3 linked regions of the Astyanax mexicanus genome follow. The protein of the gene in region 1 binds, or shares a complex with, the protein of each later gene. Links are inferred from orthologs where the notes say so. Each region holds a gene or a part of one and is shown on either strand. Other genes may lie near its edges. The genes, in order: ndufab1a, fdx2 and LYR motif-containing protein 4.

Region 1 (7,923 bases):
CTGTGGCAGGAGGTGCATCAGTGGGTGTAGGATCTGTGACAGGAGGTGCTGCAGTGGATGGAGGGTCTGTGGCAGGAGGTGCATCAGTGGCTGGAGGGTCTGTGACAGGAGGTGTCAAGGTAGATGTAGAGATTGCAGCAGGGGGTGTCGATGAGGGTGTACTGTTGTTTGATGTGGTGTTGAAGAAACGAGAATGTTTGCATATTCCAAAATGTCTGAAGAAATCCTCTTTACGAATTATAGTGGTTGTGCAGCCTGGACAGTGGAAATGTAATTTTGGTCTACATTCAAACCCACATCGGTACATGGTGTAGCCTGAGGAAAGAAAACAGGACATATGTATGTTACTGCAAACAGTTAAGTAATATTAGATAAACTGATTTCAGAAATGTATAAACATAAAAATCCAACATGAACATTAAAGAATAATGCACATAGATAATTTAATAGAGCAAAAAACAAGAAGGAACATCAAGAAAGGGTTGGAGCAGCCTAGGAGATTTGAACTCGCACAATGACATATATATGTATATATATATATATATATATATATATATATATATATATATATATATATTCTACACCTCATACTGTCTGTTGTGATCCAATGAGTTGTTAAATGTGACTCTCATGCCAAATTTATTTGCTGGCCTAGACTGAGAGCAAATGCCGTTTACAACAAGATTTTGTCATTCTTAATAATTAGTCCAGTTTAATAGTTAAACTGGACTATGGTAGCTGTGGTTCATTGCAGTCAAACAGAGTAAACTACGCTATGCTCTGGTACTGTGATTTGATGGAAACGTAAATTGTTTTATAATAAAATACATGAAATGCACTTTTACTAAGCCCACTGCTTCAAAAGACAGATTTTCACACACACAACAATTAATTAACATGAACCTACATAAATCTGCTGTGTGCACTCTCACCAGAGAGGTCTCTAAATCAGCAAAAACTTACAGAATGATACTTTAAAGTGGATGTGGCTGATGCACACTACTTTAACTGTGCTGTAAACTCAATGAAGGTGGACTGAGACACTTGGTCTGGGAGTAGGCAGCTCTGGCTCCACATCTGGTCTCTACTGTGCTTAGTCTATTTGCAAATTTGATGGTGGAAAATTTAGCTTATTATTATAGAAGAGACACAGAACAGAATGGAACTTTAATGTTCATGTTTTCTACAGTCGTCTTTTAAACAAGAAATTAATGTGTGCTTTAACAATTAGTATTATTTTCTGTTGAAACTTGTGTAGTCATTTAAACATTTATATACAAAACATTTTTCTATAAAGCAAAAATACAATATAAAAAAAATACCTCCATATTCAACCGCTCCCCGGGCGTGCCAGGCCAGATGGAGCTGCACCTTGTACGGCTTTGCTGCTTTGAACTTGGAGAGACTGCAGAACGGGCACTGAAACAGATTTGTGCCGCGCACTCTGATGCATCTTTGAGGCTCTGGTTGTTGCCCTTTTTTCCGAACCGATGGATGAATCTGTAAAATGAATAAAAGGTGATGTAGATGGATTTTGTTTATGTAATGAGGTAATAATTAAAAAGTGCTGATGTTTTTTTTTTGTGAAGTTGTATATTGTTTATAAAAAGGAGAGCAGGAAGTCTCTGTTTTTAAATATTTGTTTAAATGTAAACAATTATAACTAAATACAAAAGGATTGTTGGGATTAGTTAATTTCTGTGCTCAGTGCAATGTTAAGAATGATTAAGGAAATTAAAGCAAAATGTATCCACAGGACTTTATAAAAAACTTTATGATTTTTTTTTACATTTTCTTAAAGGGAGATTTAGGCTGGCTGGGGTTAGGGGTTATACTGGAGAATCTCTAATAGAGAGGAAAATACATATGACACAATTGAGTACACTGCAAAAAATTGCAAAAACTAGATACAATTTATTTAAATTGAGACATAAATGCTTAAATTAAGCAAAAAAAGAAATTGCCAATGGGGTAACCAAACTTTTCTTATAAAGTATTTCTAAAATAAGCAATGACAAAGCCTCAAAATGAGTGAAATAAGACTCAAATCAAGCAAAAATGATTTATTTTCTAGCTTAAATTTCTACTCAAATTTTAGAATAACTTGATTGGTGACTTTTTGTGTTTAGTTTGAGTTCAAATTACCTAAAATAAGGTGAAAATTCTAAGTAAGACTGATTAAGATGCAAACGAGTGCTGCATGTTAATCTACACAGATTTCTCTCATATGCAGCAGCATTGGCTTTAGCAGCTAACCGCAAGTGCTAGCCATGGTTAGCACTAATAAATGCTGCTTGACAGCACTACACTGAGGAACCCTGAGTGTTCTGGTAACCCAGGGCGATATTAGCTAGTCCGATATACATGCCTATGAACAGCGAAAGAGCTAGCACTTAGCGCGATTAGCAGCTAATGCTGCTCCAGCAGTGCTAGCCAGGGTTAGCAGCAGCCTACAGGCCAATAATATTCACCTCTGAAAGGCAAAAGAGCTAGAGCTAGTAGCTAGATGGCTATTGCTAATACTGCTCCAGCCTCAGTGCTGGAGAACTAAACTGAAACTTCTGTATAACTTTAGTGGAGTGGCTTTACTGCTCCTTACAACCTGACTGGTAAATTTATACATAAGGTGCACCAGAATATAAGGCGCACTGACGATTTTGGGAGAAATTAAAGGATTTTAAGTGCGCCTTGTAGTGCGAAAAATACGGTAATATAAATGTTTTAAATTTAAATATTAAAGAAATGACTAATTACCTCAACACAGAACAATATAACGTTACCATTTTTCGACACAGTACAGATATATTTGTAACCGTTATAAACCTTTTAAACTCAAACCCAGTGCTCTGACTGTAACTGCAGTCATGTAGCTCACAGTAGGATTAATGCAGATTCTTTACTGCCTAAAGTCTCTTCACTTAATATATAATAAAATACATAGGTAAGCTTATTTTAAATAAAAAATATATACACCATTAGTTAGCTCCACAGTCTATGATTTTGACTGACTCGCGGGCTTCCTCTAGCGATCCGCAAATTCTTTGACATAACGGTGGGCGGAAGTGTGTCTATCTTCAAAATAAAAGCCCTAATTTAAAAAACTGACAGGACATTTTGAAGATTGTTTATCAAGGAAAGTTTGCGCATTTTAGTTCATTAATAAGGAATATTTTTTCTCTTTTAAGCACAATGAATTTAAAACAATACTTTTAAAAAATGAAAACGTGACGTTTTAAGAACATTTATTATAATGCTATCGTTATATGTTAAGGACGTTTCCAAAAGTGTAAAATGAATTAGCTAACGTTAGTATTTTAACTTTTATTATTTAACCTAAAAACGAATGGAAGGGAAACTTCAAGCTAACTAACCATCGATCCCTTCACTTTCACAGCTTCAGTTTCTCGAATATTGTAATTATTAAGTTAGTTATCATTGTAGTTGTTGTTATAATTTTCCGCTCGGAGCTGCTTCCGCTCAGATATTAATGTTATACACCAATAAACACTCACCCATCCGCGGCTCTCCATATTAACTGCAGCAGATCCGAGTCTCTAACCGTGCGGATCTGACCGTGCGGAGCTGAGAGTGCCGTACTGCGGATCTGCCCCCCAATAACACCCGTCTGCAGAAGCGCGGAGCCGCGGATGTAGGCCAGCAGATTCAGGCCAATGGCAGCGCATGCGCAGTAGGACCACGCGATTCTGCTGCGAAGCATGGCTGCGTCCAGAATTTATTTTATTTAGACATATGAAAAGACTTACAGAACCACAAACATTATTACAGTATTTTAAAGCATAATAAGCAGCTGTATCACTACTGGGTGAAAAAAACTGACAAAAAATTAAATAATAAAAAACTAACAAACAAACAAACAAAAAAATACATTACCAAAATAAAAATAAATATAAATGGACATACAAGAGATCAACATTCAAAACATACCTTCATTAATGAGCACAACTTAAAGGTATTCTTACTATTTTCAATTTTAACGTTTGTAGTACAGAGACAAAACATTTTAAGTGCTAAAAAAATTGGAATGTTTATTGGCTGTAACGTTAATAATTACATTTTCTGACCATTTGATGCTAAATGCAAAAATAGGAAATTGGATTTAAAAACTTTTAATGTAGTGCAGACTTTCGTTCTTTTTCCAATTTTTTCCTCTCTGCCTCTCACAATCGTAATTTTAGGATTTTTTTTTGTTGCATTTTTTGCATGAAGATTCAACTTTTCATTTTTCTTCCAATTCTGTTTGCGATAGGCTGAAATTAAGAATTGGATTAAACCCCATTTCTTATTTATTTCGAAATTAGCTTGATACAGTCAGAAAATTAAACTGCTAAAAGTTACACTGACCGTTTTCTCCTCCTCCTTTCCTGACCCTCCTCTCCTTCTTTTCTTCTCCTCCTCCTATCTTACTGCTCCTCTCCTCCTCCTTACCTACTCCTCCTTTTCTACTTCTTCTTTCCTACTTCTCCTCTCCTCTGCCTTTCCTAACCCTCCTCTTCATCCTCATCCTCCTTTCCTTTTCATCCACCTATCCTACTGCTCCTCTCCTCCTCTTTTCTTGGTATTCCACCAAATATTGATTTCTGAACTCTTACAACTTTATGAATACGAACTTGTTTTCTTTGCATTATTTGAGGTCTTAAAGCTCTGGATCTTTTCTCTCATTTTCTGTAAATGACAATATTTTTATTTAGAATTTGGGAGAAATGTCTGTAGTTTATAGAATAAAACAACAATATTCATTTTACTGAAACATATACCTATAAATAGCAAAATCAGAGAAACTTTATTTTATGGATGGTCTCTCTCTGCAGACAGCCGCTGTTCTCCCCCGGTCCGCGGTAGGGTAGGAGCCTGTAGGGGGCAGCAGCGCGGGGAGCGCCGCTATTAGAGGAGGAGGAGGAGGGGGAGAGGAAGAGGCCGCTGCATTGTGGGAATACTGTGTGTGTGTGGATCAGTGAGCACAGGAGTAACATGGCGGCGCGCATCCTTGCCCGGTGTGTCCGATCACTGAACCCCAGCCTGGTGTCTCTGAACCGGGGCTGCGGGGCCGCTGTCGCCTCGGCTCCTCTCGGCCTGAGCCGTTGCCTCTCTGTCCCGGCCTTCGGGCGCCCGGCCCGGCTGACTCAGGTGGGTCCTGTCGCTCCGCGCGGTCACAGCCAATGACCTACCCGAGCTCCTGACTGACTGCAGCCCCGCCGTGCCGCGCTGCGCCGAGACACGGTCAAAGTCAAACCCGGGGTTACAGAGAGTTACCTGGTTAAACCGGATTAATCTGATTTAATCCGTAGTCAGATCCGCATGACTGATAGTGATATTTAAACGTTATATCTATAGCGAACTAACGCTGGCTAGTTTAATTAGCAGCGCCGGCTAATCTGAGGTTAACTAACCTTAACTTCAGTAACGTCGTTATAAAGCTAACTAAACTGCACGTTTACGCTTTTTTACAGAGTAAAAAGGTATTTTAAATAATATTGTATTAAATATTAAAGTAGTAAATAATACCTGATAATCATATCTACTCTCAGTTACGGTAAAATGTATACATACTATTATATAAAGTTTTTTTTTTTTGAAGTATTTGGTTAATAATGTGCAGAAGATTTACTTAATCCTTTAGTTGTTTCTGTTATCTTTTATTATTTATAGTTAACGCTGGTTTGTTTAGTTAGTAAGTTAACACCCTCAATCTTCGTGTTCAGTTTGACTGCGGCTTTTTAAACCTTCAGAAAATTTACGTTATATTATTAAAAACGTTGTCGAGCTTTTTTCAGGAATTAATTGTGTATATGTTGTAGTATCACTGTTTCTCTCAGTACTGTAGGGATAGTGGTGTTTTTTAAATCTAATTTTATTTAAATTTTTTGTCCCCCAATCTTTCCCCCAATTTATAAAGCCAAATACCCAACCCACTCATTAGGACTCCCCCTATCACTAGTGATGCCCCAACACCAGGAGGGTGTGCTAATTGACATCACACAGAGAATGCAAGGCCAATTGTGCTCTCTCAGGGCTCCGGTAGCTGATGGCAAGCTGCATGAACAGGATTTGTAAATTCCTTATCATAGTTGGAGCCCCATATAGTGGTGTTGAGGCTTAAAGCAGAATGACGTTTTTATATTAAGTATCAAAAAATATTAGCTTTTTATACTGAGCTCAGTATTCTCCATTGCAACGTTTTTATACACTTCAAAACTGTTTTTTTTATTATTTGGTAAAGTTAACTAGGCAGAAAACACTGGAACATGGAAATTCACCTGTACATTATTGTCTTTTTGTTCACACACACACATATAAAGCATTGAACAGTATTTTAGGCAGTCATGTAATGACCAGTACTTCAGTAACTGTGGGTAGGTGAGGTCCCAATCTAGGATTAATTCAGATTTAGTTATTTTTAAAAGGGTATTATTGGTTTGTTATGCTATTATCATTGTCAGTGTATTTTAATGGTCTTCAAATGGGAATCCCAGAATTTTGTTTTTTTTTTGCAATAATTTCTGGTATTTTTGGAATTGTGTCGATCCTACACAAAAATATTCCCTAGCAAATGTTAAACATCAAATAGGGCCAAATTGACCTCAGATAGAGGGTAGTTCTAAAGTTAAATTCAATTTTCAATTTTTTGTGCATTGCTTTATTGTATGACTACAATGTATTAAATTAAATTGTATTAGCTATATTACATTATGTAGGGGTTAAGGGAGGTACTTGAGTCTACTATGTAGCATTTATTATATACTGAAGTGATAAGTGAACAACCAAACACACTCTTTATTTGTGCCGCTGTGAGGTGGTCTGGTACACCACCACTGCGCTGCATTGTTATACACTGGTGATTGCAGTGAGTGCTGCATTATATGGATTTAGTAGTATTTAGATTTTAAACAGCATTACAAAGTGGCTGACACACTATTTAGTGCACTATTTCTGTAATAGGGAGCGAACATTTTGGTTCTTTAAAATATTTCCACTTTGCAGAGCGTTTTTAAAATGTGCATTTTCGTGTGGATGGGAGGCCAAAATACTATACTATAATAAGAAATAATTGTGGGTGGAGCTCTAGGACACCCTGTACATAACTCTACTGCAAATTAATGTAGTTCTTAATACTAATGTGCTTGTTTTAGTGTCTTTACAGTGTAATATTCATATTTTAAATGTATGTTAATAATTGATTTAGCTATATTTAAATGCATAAATATTATCTTGTGTGTGTTTTTTTTTTTTTTTTTAAGATTGCTATTTAAATTTGTGTCCGTAACCTGCAGAGCATGAATTTACTAGGCAAAAGTGGCAAAAATAAAAAAATATATATAATATATATAAAAAAAAAATAAAAATAAAGACCGAGCAATGATGTTTAAAATCATAAAAATATTTATAGGCTAATTTACTTGAGCAGTGGTAAAAACTGTCAAAAATAATAAAAACGTATTCAGTTTTAGTTTCTGCAGGAGAACATCCCTAGAATATATGCTGACAAACCAAAAGTCATGGGATAGCAGTGCGTAAATTAATCATGAACTGTTATCTCAAGGGACATAATGCATAACATTTGTGAACTGCTCATGACATGGCAACATGAATGTTTACAAGCAAGGCCTGATATTCGGTGCCAAATGAATTGGACTTTTTCTGAAGTTGTGCAGGCATTTAACATTCCTCTACTCACCGTGTCTGGTCTGACATTACCGCTCTCAGTGGACAGTACAGTGAGTGGTAATGTTTGTCACTGGTGGTTAGAATTTCTATGCAAACAATCAAGCAACTCATGCATATCCTGAAGATCAGTGTATTATTTTGCTTTTACTGTCCCATGACATTTGGCATGTTCATGTTATTCCAGGAAATTGTTAGTAAGCTGTTAGAGAGTTTTGTCAGGCAGTTTTCTTATTTAATGTA
Region 2 (7,075 bases), on another chromosome or scaffold:
AAATACTCCTCATGTACATAAACATGACACGTAGAGCAGGCCAAGGATGCCTCACAGGCCCCTGAAAACAAAGCAAATTAACAAGTTAATAATCCTGATTAGTTAATAATAATACTAATTACACAACACCAAATGCTGCACACAAAGTAGGTAATACTTTCAGTAGGGACAGATATGGACAATAACATTAAAAGGTCTTCTATGCTTTACTGGCTGCCACTAAGAGCAGGATCCTACAATACAGCATGTCTGATGGTATGTTAATATACTAAGGTTACACAATATTATGGTTTGGAATAGAGTATGAATAATTATGAATAGTTCACATGCAAAACTGATCACAGATCAATTACGTATGTTAAAAATGTTCTGATTCTCGGATGCCAGGGTCCTACAGAAACATTGACTCACATCACTATACTTTTGGCAAAAACAGGTGTAATTTACAACAAAACAGGAAAAAAAAAACACACTTTGTAAAATCTGTGAAACAGTTGGCAAGTTATGTCTAGGATTTCTCAGGACCCTTAAACATTAAGTGTATTGTCTTTGGAAGGTTCAATGCAATTCTATTCCCGAGCACACATATGTTATTATGTAACAATCTCCAGTTTAAGACCGGTATAAACAAGAACTTACCTTCAAGTTCAATGCCTTGTCTTTGCGCAAGATACAAGACATTGTCTCCAACTTTACCCTTTACCGGAATCTTCTGTCCAGACCGATCAATGAACACCACGTTAACACTACAACAAGAGACGTGGGGTAGAAAAGAACATAGGTAAGTAAATAATACAAAAAAAAAACAAAATAAGTAAATACAAATATTTGTTCAAAATAAATGAATAAATGCTGAATAAACATTAAATATTACATGTCATGGGAATTTTGATGCATGCGAATAGTTATTTGTTTGGGGAGCACATCAAAGTGTCAAAAACCTTGCATCTCCATTTTTGCAGTTTTTCACTTAGGGAAAATATTTAAACTGTGTCACTACTGCATGCTAATTTAACCAATAAAAAACGCTTTCAATGGAATAAAATCATTTTACACTTATATGTTTAAAGTCCAGAGTTCTACCATCCCTCTAATATTTCCATTTTTGGATAAACACAAGGTTTTCGCTCCTCAGCAACCATAGATCTGGTGGACATGTACATAGGAAACCTAATATAAAGTTAAAGGGAGGGTAACATAAGTAACATACACATCCTCATCGGTGTCCTCCACGTTCGAGCTGCCCTCCTCACTCTGACGTAGATCTGAAATAATAAACCACAGTGAACAGTTTAGTGAGAACCTCTGCAATGAGTCTAACAAAGACACTCATCTGCTTAACTGCACTGGACTGGACTTTTCCTGCTCTCTTAGCAAAGCTCTTGTAATGAGATTTCCCTGACAGTCCAAAACAAGTTTAACTTGACCAACTAAAGACCAAGCTGCTGAGTAATGCCTGCAAGTACAGCCTGTTACAAGTAGTAACCAAAACCAAAAATATTCCTTAAAAAAAAAAAAAAAAAAAAACTAAATGGGAAGTAGCAAAGTACAAATACTCCTTTAACTTACTTAAGTCGATTTTTTTGTTTAGAATTTGTCTTCACTGGAGTAATTATATTTCAGACGATTTTAAAATGTTTGAGTAAAATTAACATTGTTGCTTTATTCTATAAACTACGCACATCATTTCTCCAAAATTCCAAATAATTTTTTTTTGACATTTATAAAATATATTTGTAGAAATTGAGAAATGGCTGAAATAATAAAAAAGACCTCAAATAATGCAAAGAAAACAAGCTCATATTTAATAAGTTTTAAGAGTTCAGAAATCAATATTTGGTGGAATAACCCTGTCTTTGTTTTTTTTTTTTTTTTTTGCATCTTGGCATGTTCTTCTCCACCAGTATTACACACTGCTTTTGGATAACTTTATGCCACTTCTGGTGCAAAAATTCAAGCAGTTCAGCTTGGTTTGATGGCTTGTGATCATCCATCTTCCTCTTGAATATATCCCAGAGGTTTTCAAATTGATAAAATTAAAGAAACTCATATTTTTAAATGGTCTCATTTTTTTCAGTGCTGTATTTGCATTGTATTAGAATACACTCATTTTCAATTAGCATATACACATCTGAAACAGGGAGCCTAGTGCATCCAATTTTTTTCTTGAGTAAAAAGCTTGAGTTGATACTTCAACTTCTACGGAAGTATTTACACCTTAGTATCCTTTTCTACCTGAGTAATAAATGTAAATACTTTTGAAACCTTTGTAAAAACAACGTCATTAATGAGGAGTTTTTCCTCAATACTCGCGTGGCTGGAGGTACAGCCTCCACTTTTCTGACAGAACTTTGCTGTGAGGATCTGATGGCATTCAGGTACTGAATTTGAATGAACTCTAACTCATTCCAAGAGTAACGTTAGAGGATGGAGCTTTATCAGACCAGAGAATGCAGTTCCAATGCTCCACAACTCCTCTAGGTCCCTCTACCAAGCCTGGAATTCAGCACAATGACTTTAGACTTATGTGAGTCTAATCATCAAGATTATTCAAGCTGTCTGAAGGGTAATGAAGCGTTTGGATACTTTTGAATTAGGAATTTAGACGTAAATAACAGCCATCAAACTCAACCTGTAACATATTTCTGAAACTCAGTAACACCAGACAGTAATTGAAGGTGCTAAACTAGAATAAACACAAATAAAAACGATAATAATTCAGTATCAGCGTGTTAGTTAGAGCTCAGTTCAGACACCCTAAGTTCTCTGATGTTATAAAACCCGCGGTTTGACTTTGGGAGCTCGGATACACTCACTAATGGAGGTCTGCAGCTTTCTGTTGGGGGCTGAGTAGAGCTCCATGGCTCGTCTCCCTCTGGTGGGACCCAGCACGGCTCCGCTGCACATGTTGAGGCGGTAAAACGGACAGACGCTGCAGTCCGGGGCCACTTTACCGAGCCGCACACTCAGAGCACGGACCGCAGCGGCGGCCGCCATGACACTGCTGTCGTCACATGGTCCGCAGTAGCCAATCAGAAAAGAAGACGGAGGAGTGACGTAGCTCTCGTCGGTGTGCAGGTTTATTAAACACAAGTTCAGCTCTGTTTTTATTTTAAGGTCATTATTAATATTTGGTATTAATTTATTATTTTTATTTTATTCTAAATTCACTGTCATTTTTGGTCAGAATGACTATTAAGACATTACATTGCATTACATTACATTGCATTTGGCAGACGCTTTTGTCCAAAGCGACTTACAATAATGAAGTACAAAAGTAATAGGAATTAAGATAAACCATTTTAGATAGGGCTCAAAGGAGGTCGAAGGGAAATAAAGGGATAGAGAAGTGAAGGAGGGGAAGAAGGAAATGGGGTTAGAATTATTATGATTATTTTCTTTTTTTTAATTTTATATATTAAGTTTTTTTTTTTTTAGGTAAAACGTTAAATGAGAAAGATTAAGGATAAAATATCAAGTAACAGAAGTTTAGAACAAACTGGTAGACCACTGAAAACTTGTTGAGGGAGAAAAAGAGGAATAAAATGATCTCCACTATTGCTACAGATCTGTAATTAATGATTGATGAGTTTAATAAAGATAAGATCTCCTATTTAACTAAGTTTCAGTGTTGGTGGGTCCTTAACCACCCTACAATGGTCGTTGTGTAATTTGGCCGCATGAGGGCGCTATAGGACAAATGATACGCATGTAAAGGGTTACTCAAGGTAAACTGCTAAGAGAAATGTGTCAAAGTCATGACCAGAAGATGAGTATTTTTCCTCTTTTTACACACAGTATTGTAAATAACACGACAGATGTGATGATATACAGCATCCCAATCACTGCCATGTAGTTACCAGCCATAATAGAACCCTCTTTACCTGCTCATCTGCCTAAATAACACACAGGTCAGCTGGTAAACTCTCGGATGCAAATAACATTTGCACATAGGCTTTCTAATCTGGCTAGCCATCTCCTGTGCACCCTATAGTAGAGCATTGTGTCTGCATGCTGGCTTCCTGAAAGAGATCACAACAAGTTCTTTTGTCTTTACACAACCAACTTAAACAAAGCCTTCCTCTGGCCTTTATGTCGCAATACTAAAGCTAACACTTTAACACTTAACTTTAACCTTAACGGAGCTCATAGAATGTCAAACAGTATTTATTTTGACATATTTGAATACTAAACATTTGGGAAATGAAAGCTCAAACAATGTTACATAGCAGTCTTGAATCATTATATTTACACCCCCAATATTTACGTAAACCCAACATACTACAGAAAACTCTACTCAAAGCAGTAGAGTACTCAAAACAGTAAAATGAGATGAAAACTTTGCCAGTACATAATGTTGTTGATACTGGAGAGAAGCCTATCACCTCCAGAATTGGTTCGCCAAGACGTGAAAGCCAATGTGGAGCTAAGCTAAAAGCTAATACTAGCTAATGCCATCCTTTACCATATCTTCTCTTCATTGTCCACTCACCTGAAAAAAAAAAAAAACTACAGTTAAACAAACACTGGTGTGACTGGTTAGCATGCTGGCTATTCTACCTAGCAAGCAATATATCATTATTTTATTGTATTGTGATAGAACCTCTTATAAGCATATCGAGGCACTGGAGGCTCTAGTGGTGGGGCCACAAGGGCATTGGCCCCAGCTGAAATCTGATTGCCCCCCTGAAAAGCCTCTGTCCAAAATACACAAAAATTTAAAAACAAATAAAGAAAAGACTGGCAAAATCCAAACTGAAATCATTTTCCAATAAAATTTAAAAATATATGTTTGATATATGTTACATGTTTAGAATTTGCAACATTGTTTCTTCATGTGATAATATTTTTAACCAGATCATGCAGCTCTAGCAGTGTGTAATTATGTAAACCAAGGGTGGTGGCTTTCATGCTGGTCATATCAATATTTGAATCATTTGTATCATATCGACCGAAATTAAGAAATATATTGTGATATAGATTTTTGCAATATCATCCAGCCCTAAAGCTACCTATTGCTTTATTTTTCTCAATTTTTCTGTCTTCTTCAGAACCACATTGCTGAGTATGTACAGTAGAAATCAAACGTTCAGAAAGCAGAAGGCTGGCCAATCGGTTTAGAATGTCGCTTCACCTCGTCATCATTTATTTATATAAAGGTAAGAAAATCTCTATATGTCACAGCTACAAGTCATGTCCTCCCATAAAAACGACCGGTTTCTCTGTTGGTAAAAGCATTAAATAGGTTTGTTGAACATTTTTCAACTTAAACAAAGTCAAATACATTATTATTTATATATATATATATATATATATATATATATATATATATATATATATATATATATATATATATATATATATATATATATATATATATATATTTGCCACATTTACAATAGAATGCTTAAAAAATATTTTCTGGATTAAAATAGGCCTAAATGCACAGGTCTTCTACTTTATTTAATAACTATTGTGTTAATATTTACCATTTAGGCTAATATATATTATGTGTGATTTGACTGTCATCACAAAAATATGCTGAGCTTCTCATTCTGTGCCATAGGCGAACAAGTGTAATCAAGTGGAAATCATGCAGTGACACATCTGTTATCAACCACCACTTTCCTTTTCCAGTTCTGTACATCAGTCATACAATATTATTCTCAGAAGAGCTTCACACATTCTGACTTCCAAAAAAATTTCCAAAAAGTGACATAATAATTTGACTTTTTGATCGAATTTCAAATCCCATGTTTTGCTAACTACTTCTAAAGTATATCACAATTATTCTATTTATTTATTGAATAAAAAAACATGTAGAAAATATGAAAAGTAGAAAGTCTTGTAAAAAGCCTTATTTAATTTGTTCACTCCAGTGAGTTAAAGAAACTAAGTAAAAAATAAAAAAACTTTATTATATACAAATTCAGTCTTATGTAAAGTATATATAAACATGTTCCTGTAAGTTACTGTAAAATGATTTTTAAGCTAAAAGCCATTTTCAGACATTTCTAGCTTCTATATTCACCATGAACTTTTACAAAATATAAAAAATAACTGCTGTGTTATATATTATAATAATACACATAAATAAAAATGGGCATATATATGATAAGATCTTTAAAATATTTGAAAGCATAAACTAAACATATAACAAAAACAACTGAATTCATAAAAAGAACTAATAGTTGAAAGTAATATAGTAATGTGTTTCTAATCTTTAAATCAGGCAGAAAAATAAACACTGAAATATGGGCATGCATGATAATTCAATTCAATTTTATTTATATAGCATTTGAATAACATGATTAAATAGCATCATTACAGTAATTTAAAAGCATAAATGTATATGTACATATACTGCAATTTAAAACAACTTAATTCAAAATTAGAACTACTAGTGGGAAGTAATGTGATACGTAATGTGTTTCTAATTATCTTTGGAAAACACCTGTAGTTTATTTTAGTAGGTCTGTTTAGTTCATGTTTCCACTCTGGTATTTTGATAAGATCACACTTGAGAACGACAATCCAGCCGGAACAGAAAGCCACATGTGTAATGTGTCTGAAGTGTGAAGTGATGTGTGATGTGCAGTGGTATCATTTGTGGAATTGTTGTGAAAATGCACAAACCAAAGTGGGTTTAGAACATTTTGAGTTTTTTAACAAAGTCCTTGTAGTATCTTGGTTTATATCTTTGATGATCTGGTTTCAGTGGCACCTGTGAAGGAATAAGACAACAAGTGAAGAAACAGTCACTGTTTTGAAGTTGATGTGCTGGAAGCAGAACAAATAGGCCAGTATAAGAATCAGAGACATTTGGCTTATATATACCTGTACATTTACATTTATTCTGTTTATTGTTTTCTGTCTGTGCACCTTGTGTTTTGTCTTTTGCCTTTGCCCCCATATTATTTTATCATATGTTTTTATCAATATGTTATAAATATTTAATTGTGCTTTTTATAACTGATTAACTGTTTAATTTAAATCATTTCATTGTTTATTTTTTTATTTTTTATTCTGCCCAAAAAAAGAGTAAAATCAGATCAGCCAGCCTGTATCAAACAGA
Region 3 (7,635 bases), on another chromosome or scaffold:
CATTAGGGCTGGCCCGAATAGCGTTTTTTGAGCTCCGGATATTCGGCACTGATTCGCGAATATTCGAATATTCGTTTTTAAAAAAAGAGGTAAAAAAAAAAATTAAAAAAAGCAAATCACGGCCCCTTTAATCCACTGAAAAATGTTCAATTTGCTCTGACCAACGAGACATATTCACCCCGGATTTTTGGTGTTTTTATCCCGGATTTTTGTGTTTTCACCCCATATTTTTTCTGTGTTTTTAGCCCAGATTTCTTGGTGTTTTCATCCCGGAATTTCTGCTGCCCCACACGCGGCTTATCCGCTGCGTAAGCAGGCTAGGAGGCTGCTGCTGCACGGTTTCTCCGCTGCGCAAGCCAGCCCAGTAAATTGCTGTTTGTGTTTTCACACTTAGGTTATTTGCTTAAAAAAAACAAACAAAAAAAACGTTTGTTCAGGAAGTATTTTATATTCTTAAACATTGTTAATTATATTAGAGGACAGTCATTGTAAACTGTACTTGGTCTATTTCGGTTAAAGGATTGTGCAGGGCATATTACTGATTTTGTATTTTTGCACTTGGGCTATAAGCTCAATATTAAATATTTCGTTTGTTTAGAAATTATTTTATATTTTTAAACCATGTTAAATTATATTAGAGTAGAGGAAAGTCATTGTTAATGACGTTATTGTACTTGGTCTATTTCTGTTTAAGGATTGTGCAGGGCATAGCCGTATTACTGATTTTGTATTTTTGCACTTGGGCTATAAGCTCAATATTAAATATTTTGTTTGCTTAGAAATTATTTTATATTTTTAAACCATTTTAAATTATATTAGATAAGAGGAAATTCGTTCAGACATCATTTTTGTAGGCCAGGCTTTTGTAACCGATTTAGCCCCTACTGTTGCCACATTACCCCTTACGTTTTATTATATAAATCAGTTTCGAAGAGCCTGCATTTTTTTTTTATCATGTATAATAGAGGTCTGCGCGAGACTGATTTTTAAACCCACTCTTCCATGCTCCCGCGTTTCTGTCTCGTTACCACTCCGCAAAAAAATTGCTTCTTTTAATCCCGCGCCCGCCCGCCACATACACATTTCTGCCGCTCCCGCCCCACGTTCCTAATATAAATTAAATAAACTACATTTAATGCTTCAAATTTACTTATATATTTATTAAAACAGCAGCGCTGAATAGTGCGGTCCCGTTCCTTACCCCAGTCCAAACACCATCGGTGTGTGCGTGTGTGTGTCGGTCCATCCTGCGCGTTGAGAGTTTTCTTTAGGTTTTTTTTTTTTTTTTACAATTATTACAGTTTTCTTAACTATTTATTAATTTGCTCCCGCATCGTCTGGATTAAACTCCCGCTCCAGCCAATAACAGTTCAGTTCTGTCCCGCGCGCAAGATATTCTGACGGGACCCGCGAGAACAGAAGTGGTTAGAGTGAGGTGGAACTCTGGAAAGGAGAAAAAAAACGAATATCCGAATACCAAAATTAAAAACCGAATACCTACTCAACGAACGAATATCCGAATACCCGAATATTCGGGTCCAGCCCTAGTGGACATTTTTAAGGCCCCATTAATAGACATTACTGCCCAGCACCACTAAACACTGTGCTCAGAACCGAGTTTATTGCTAATGTCCATACACACAGGCTACAAAAACACAAATCACAGCAGATTAACAAGCTGTAAGCCAGTTATTTCACATCAGTATTCAACAAAGAACAACAGATTTCAGTCAAACACATTAAGAGGCAAGAAATTTAAGTAATTAACTCCTGACGAGGTACAGCTGTTAACTGAAAGCCATTCCAAGTGACTCTACCTCATAAAGCTGACTGAAAAAATTCAGCCAAGATATGCAAAGCTGTCATCTACCCAAGACGTGCTACTTAGAAGAATCTAAAATATAAAACATATTCTGGTTTGTTTAATACTTAAATCCATGTGTTTTTCTCCATAGGTCGTATGTAGGGTTGCAGCGGTAACCGGTTTCACGGTATACCATGGTATTAAAATGCACGGTTATCATACCGTGTGTGTTTGCTTATTACCGGTAAAACGCAAGCCAGCGGAGAAACTCACCCGCGCATGCGCAACTCTGCTCCGCTTCAGCTGCTCAGCACACAGCGGTGAGAACAACAGAAAGTGCATCAGACTAAACAAATCTCCGTCCGCCTAAAAAAAGGCTAAACTAAAATCAGCAGTGTGGGACTATTTCGGATACCCGCCGAACGCAGGATGGTTATCCGATTTGTAATCAATGTGGCCGTAAAGTCACAGCTAAAGGTGGACATACGTCAAACCTGTTCTCCCATCTCCGAGAACACCACCCCGCTGTGCAGCGCAAAGTATGTGTTTAGCTTATAATTTTAATCTGAACCTAAATAAAACCTCTTTGTAGTCGTGCACAACCCATGCAGTAAGCGCCCGCAAAAGCGCTGAGTTATCCGAAATTTGGGCACGCAGGTACAGGCGTGAAGTGCGTGCTACGATGGATTCACGTGTCCGTGTAAAGGTCCTGGCCGGACTGGATGTGAAAGACGCCATTCATTTACATGCGTTCATTTTCAAATTCTGACGTGCCTGTTTTTCAAATGTTAAAACCAGACTCGGTGTGAAAGCCTTAAAATAGAAATCTCTATTGTGAGGATCATGTCAGAAATAAATCCCCTCTTTCTGCAGTATCTGGTTATATACCAACTTGGCAGTAAAACGGACGTTTACAACAGTTGTTGATCAGACACTGACCCAGGCTCAGTTTATCAGATATTAAATAATTTAAACTTAAATAATTGTACTGAATAGTTTAAACACAGGATCTTTACTTCTTAGAGGACATGTAATGTGTGTAACGTGTGTGTATGTGTGTATATATATTATATATATTTATATATATTTTTTTTATATACACTCTTAATGCCCTTAAGAGTAGTGGAAAAAAAATTTTTCCTTCACCTGATGGTATACAGCTTATTTTTTTTTAAGGAGACATTAAAATTATAATTGTTCCAGGTTTCTACAATAAATAGTTAATTGAACAAAAAACCTTTGTTGTAATTTCTTTAAGGGTCAGTTTAATAATATATGTAACAAACTGTGATACCGTGATAACCGTGATACCGCGGTATTTTCTGAGACGGTTATCATACCGTGAAAATCTCATACCGTTGCAACCCTAGTCGTATGATTTTAGTATTAATCTACAAAGGATATTGTTTTATACAACTTTTTAAATAATGAAAAAACAAACAGCATATTTAAGGTGTATCCTACTTTTAACTGGTAATATTCATATGTTTACATACTTTCAATGTCAATATATTTCAATAATGCTGAATGCAAAATGCTTTTTAATAATGCTGAAGTGAAAACATTCACTAAACAGTCACATTCACAAACTCCTTCAACACGTGCCGACATGTTCATGCTCTCTCTCTCTCTCTCTCTCTCTCACACTATCTCAGTCTCCCTGTGTCTCTCTCTCACACACACTTTCTCAGGTTCTTTATCTGTCTCTCTCACACACACACTCTCAGTCTCTCTATCTGTCTCTCTCTCTCAGTCTCTCTCTCAGTCTCTCTGTCAATCTCGTGCTCAGTCTCTCTACCTCTGTCTTTCCAGCTCCTACACAGTCTCTCGCTCTCTCACAGTCAGACTCTGTCTCTCCTTCACACACATTCTCTCTCGCAGTCTCTCTCTCCCACACACAGTCTCTCGCTCTCAGTAACTGTCTCTCTTTTGCTCAGACTCTGTCTCTCACTCACACACTTTCTCTCTGTGTCCCTTTCTCTCTCTCTTCACAAAGAGAGATACTGGCCAGGCTAAGCTTGCTGTGTGACTGTCTAGGAAGAACAAATTGAAGGAGGGTGGCTCTCAGGATGCTGGAGACATGCTTAAAACTCTGATAAAGATTAGATTGAAAATTGATTTAGTTTTTTAATGAAGATTATTTGGTCTTGTGCACACAGAAAAATAGAAAAGCCACTTATTTTAGTTTGACCCTTTTTTATTTTTTTTTTGTGTAATGTAAATTTTTAATAGTAAAATAAAGCGTGCCAAAAGTCAAAAGTGTCTCTTTCTCTCTCTCTCTCTCTCTTACTCACACACATTCTCTCTATGTGTGCATCTTTCTGTCTCTCTCTCTCTCTTTCTTTCTCCCTCTCTCTCTCACTCTCTCTCTCCCACTTTCCCTCTCTCTCTCTCTCTCTCTCTCTAACTATATATATATATATATATATATAATATCTCAGTGACAGTAGTGGAGTTTATCAGTCAGTCTGTAAACAGTAAACACAGTAAACACAGCTATAAACACACAGAGAACGGAGCTGAACCCGGGCTGTGCTCTGAACGCGCAGTATAAATGAGCTGTGAGTTTAGAGAAGAAGGAGGAGGTGAATAATATAAATAATAACAGTATTAAGTTAATAAACATGCAGCCCTCAGACTGTCCCACTCACCTCTCTCAGACCCGCCGCCTGTCAGAAACACGCCTCACCTGCGCGCGAGCCTGATCAATATACACACCCGCCCCGCGCTCAGCGCTGTACACTGATTAATATCTGAATTCGCTTTATTTCTACAGCCTGTTTAAACTATAAAACTGTTTATTTGCTCCGCAGTCGGAGCGCGAGAGGCGATAAAGGCGGGTTTTCTGTTCAGGCAGTGTTTTAGTCGCCTTTGTGGGAAAGATGGCGGCGTCCAGTAGAGCGCAGGTGCTGTCTCTGTACCGGAGTCTGCTGAAGGAGAGCAGGGCTTTCCCCTCCTATAACTACAGGTATTTACACAATTTACCCCCTTAATACCCCACCACACACACCTGCCCTGCGCGCGGGGGCTGTGTGAGGTGGGTGTGTAGACTGTAGAGCTGTTGGGAGTCTGGGTTCTTTTCACTGACAACACAACTCACTGTAGTTATCCCCTTTCTGTTAAATAAATCTCCAATAATTTGCTTTAAAACGTGTTTTCTGTGTTTATTATTTATTTCTCGGTTACTTTGTACCTTTAGAAATCTCCAGCTCTTGTTGTGAAACTTTAAAGCCCATATAAGTGTACACGAATCAGTCAGAAGTATATTGTGTAAGCTCATTAGCTAGACTCCTTTAAAGTCCTTCAGGAAAAAAAGAACTATTGAGAAAGTTCATTTATTTGTATAAATTCTTTACAGCCCGTTTTTTTTTTTTTGTAAACCAGCTTTGGTTTGTAAAAACAAACATATGCACAGGGAAAAAACAAACTGGCAAGCTTTAGGAAGAAGCCTAGCCTAGCTCTGGGGGACCCATGCAAACAAAAACTACTAAGGATTGTGTAATAAATGGTAAAACGTCACCTTACCATAACATAAGGCCATTTCTATTTACTGGTGTACTAAAATAACACGTTTAGCAGTAGTAGAAGAAGGTTTAGCAGTATAAGTATCAGTATTATTAGCATTAGCAGTGGTAAAAACTGTACCACTAGCAGTTGTACTAGCATACGTAGGAGCAGTAGTATTAGCAGTATTATTAGCCATACAGTAGTGGTATTAGCAGAAGTAGTAGCAGTATTATTAGCAGTCGTATTCATATTAGTAATAGAAGTACTAACAGAATGGTAGCAGTATGTGTAGCCGTATTATTAGCAGTAGTAACAGTAGAACTATCATTAGTACTAGCAATAATAGTAGAAGTAGCAGCAGTATTTGTATTTTAAAAAAGTGTTTGCTGTAGTAGTAGTAGTAGTAGTAGTAGTATAAGTAACAGTAGTACTATTAGAAGTACTAGCAGTAGTAGCAGTATTATTAGCAGCAGTGACAGTAGAACTAGCATTAGTACTAGCAATAATAGAAGTAGCAGCAATATTTGTATTATAAGCAGTATTTGTTGTAGTAGTAGTAGTAGTAGTAGTAGTAGTAGTAGTGGTAGTAGAAGTAACAGTAGTACTATTAGAAGTACTAGCAGTAGTAGCAGTATTATTAGCAGTAGTGACAGTAGTATTACCATTACTAGCAATAATAGTATAAGTAGCAGCAGTATTTGTATTATTAGCAGTATTTTAGCAGTAGTAACAGTAGTACTATTAGAAGTAGTAGCAGTAGTACTAGCAATAGTAGTAGAAGTAGCAAACATATTTGTATTATTAGCAGTAGTAGTAATAGTTGTACTGGCAGTAGTAGAAGAAACAGTAGTATTAAAAATAGCTGTACTCGTATAAGTAGCAGAACTCACTGTAGTTTATCCCCTTTTTGTTAAGGGAAAACTCCAGTAAATAGGATTAAAACATGTTTTCTATGTTTTTCTAATGAGCACTGTGATTTATTGGTACATTTAGAAATCTTCAACTCTTGTTGGGCAATTTTAAAATCTATAAGAAAACAATTAAACGTATAAAGAATCAGTCAGAGGTCACATACAGTAGCAGATCATTAGCCAGGGGGCCTTAACAGCCCAGACCCTGACCCATTTAGTAGTTAAAGTTGAGGCCAAAGTTGTTTAAAAAATATATATATATATATATATATATTTGTGTTAAAAAAACACTTTAATGTTTCCAAGTTAATCACATGTTAAGATAATATAACCTTGACCGCACTTAATGTAACTGTTTAGGGTGAAACAGAGTTAGAATTCGAAGCCAACTGGATTCCATTTTCAAAAGACGGTACCACATCTATTAATAAATGCCTGGGTCATGCTTTTATTGTGGGTTTTGAGGTGTGTTTAGTATTGTTATTTTGCTGGTGTTTAATTAAATAAATTCTTCCCTGTACTACTGGTTTTAGGTGATTCGATGTGTAGGGCTAGATTAAGAGCTGTGCCTGTATTTAGGCTGCATTTCACTCTTACAGCTTTATTTTGTACCATTGTATCATTGACAGTCTGAGGGCTGTATGCAGACCAGATTAAAATAACAGTTCATGAAGTTCATCAGGTGGCCTCTCTTTCTTACAGTGAGAGATGGGCTGCTGTGTTTTGTTTTTCCCAAAAGTGGGAAAGGGGGACACACCTGTTTCAGTAAAGCAGTTACAAAACTATAGCATATAGCTGCATTAGATTGTAACAGCTTTATTAGTGTCCTTATATTCAGTCTGTACATGTTTATTTTTTATTATGCTGTGGTGATATGGCAACAGGGTCATTGCATCCATGAAGGTCACACCCCACAACGGATTTAAAGGTTCTGCTGTAAAATACATTGTGGTGGCTTGGTCCAGTTTTTTTTTTTAGACTTACCAAAAAATAGACTTACTGCTGGGGGGTGGGCAGATTCATTTTTATATACTAGCAACAGGGATTTGCTTAAACTGCCCAAGTCCTGTGTTTACTTGGCCACAATACCATCCAATTTTGGATTCTTTTTAAACTGAAAAAAAAATAAAAAATAAAATACAAAGTTTAGTTTGTTTACAGACCAATTGAACACATACAGTAAATGTTAAACCAGCAAGCTTACAGAACACACTCCAATCTGTCTGTCTGAAACTCTACTTATAGTAAACTGTTTAGATGAGAATGATGATTGAGCGACTGGACGGAGCAAATATAGAAATTAGCTTTTTATCTAGATAACTTTAGCTACTAGATTAACCCATCTTCAGAGAGATTTGAGGCACACATTTCATATTTCTTTGCCTGAGTGTATAACAACTTAGGTGGACTTTG

Evidence for each region.
Region 2: ndufab1a (region 1) and fdx2 share a complex: the UniProt entries of both Homo sapiens proteins name them as parts of the mitochondrial core iron-sulfur cluster (ISC) complex. The link is inferred for Astyanax mexicanus from reciprocal best matches to the Homo sapiens genes NDUFAB1 and FDX2.
Region 3: the proteins of ndufab1a (region 1) and LYR motif-containing protein 4 are in contact, whole or in part, in a crystal structure (PDB 6ODD), measured with the Homo sapiens proteins. The link is inferred for Astyanax mexicanus from reciprocal best matches to the Homo sapiens genes NDUFAB1 and LYRM4. Residues at the interface, in NP_004994.1 of Homo sapiens: Lys92, Asp111, Ser112, Leu113, Asp114, Val116, Glu117, Met120, Glu123, Asp124, Glu129, Ile130, Asp132; in NP_065141.3 of Homo sapiens: Arg6, Leu10, Ser11, Tyr13, Arg14, Leu17, Arg18, Lys21, Arg37, Phe40, Arg41, Lys44.

What each region holds. Positions count from the first base shown.
Region 1 is NC_064428.1:16,158,719-16,166,641, forward strand, and holds the start of ndufab1a (NADH:ubiquinone oxidoreductase subunit AB1a), read left to right. Parts: upstream 1-4,905; 5' UTR 4,906-4,989; coding exon 4,990-5,145; intron 5,146-7,923. Other genes in the region: protein tonB2, read right to left, coding at 1-315, 1,323-1,500, 2,974-2,976. UniProt on the Homo sapiens protein: Carrier of the growing fatty acid chain in fatty acid biosynthesis.
Region 2 is NC_064412.1:31,745,127-31,752,201, forward strand, and holds the start of fdx2 (ferredoxin-2, mitochondrial), read right to left. Parts: upstream 3,026-7,075; 5' UTR 2,998-3,025; coding exon 2,817-2,997; intron 1,266-2,816; coding exon 1,211-1,265; intron 747-1,210; coding exon 640-746; intron 62-639; coding exon 1-61. UniProt on the Homo sapiens protein: Electron donor, of the core iron-sulfur cluster (ISC) assembly complex, that acts to reduce the persulfide into sulfide during [2Fe-2S] clusters assembly on the scaffolding protein ISCU.
Region 3 is NC_064413.1:47,014,531-47,022,165, forward strand, and holds the start of LYR motif-containing protein 4, read left to right. Parts: upstream 1-4,575; 5' UTR 4,576-4,686; coding exon 4,687-4,772; intron 4,773-7,635.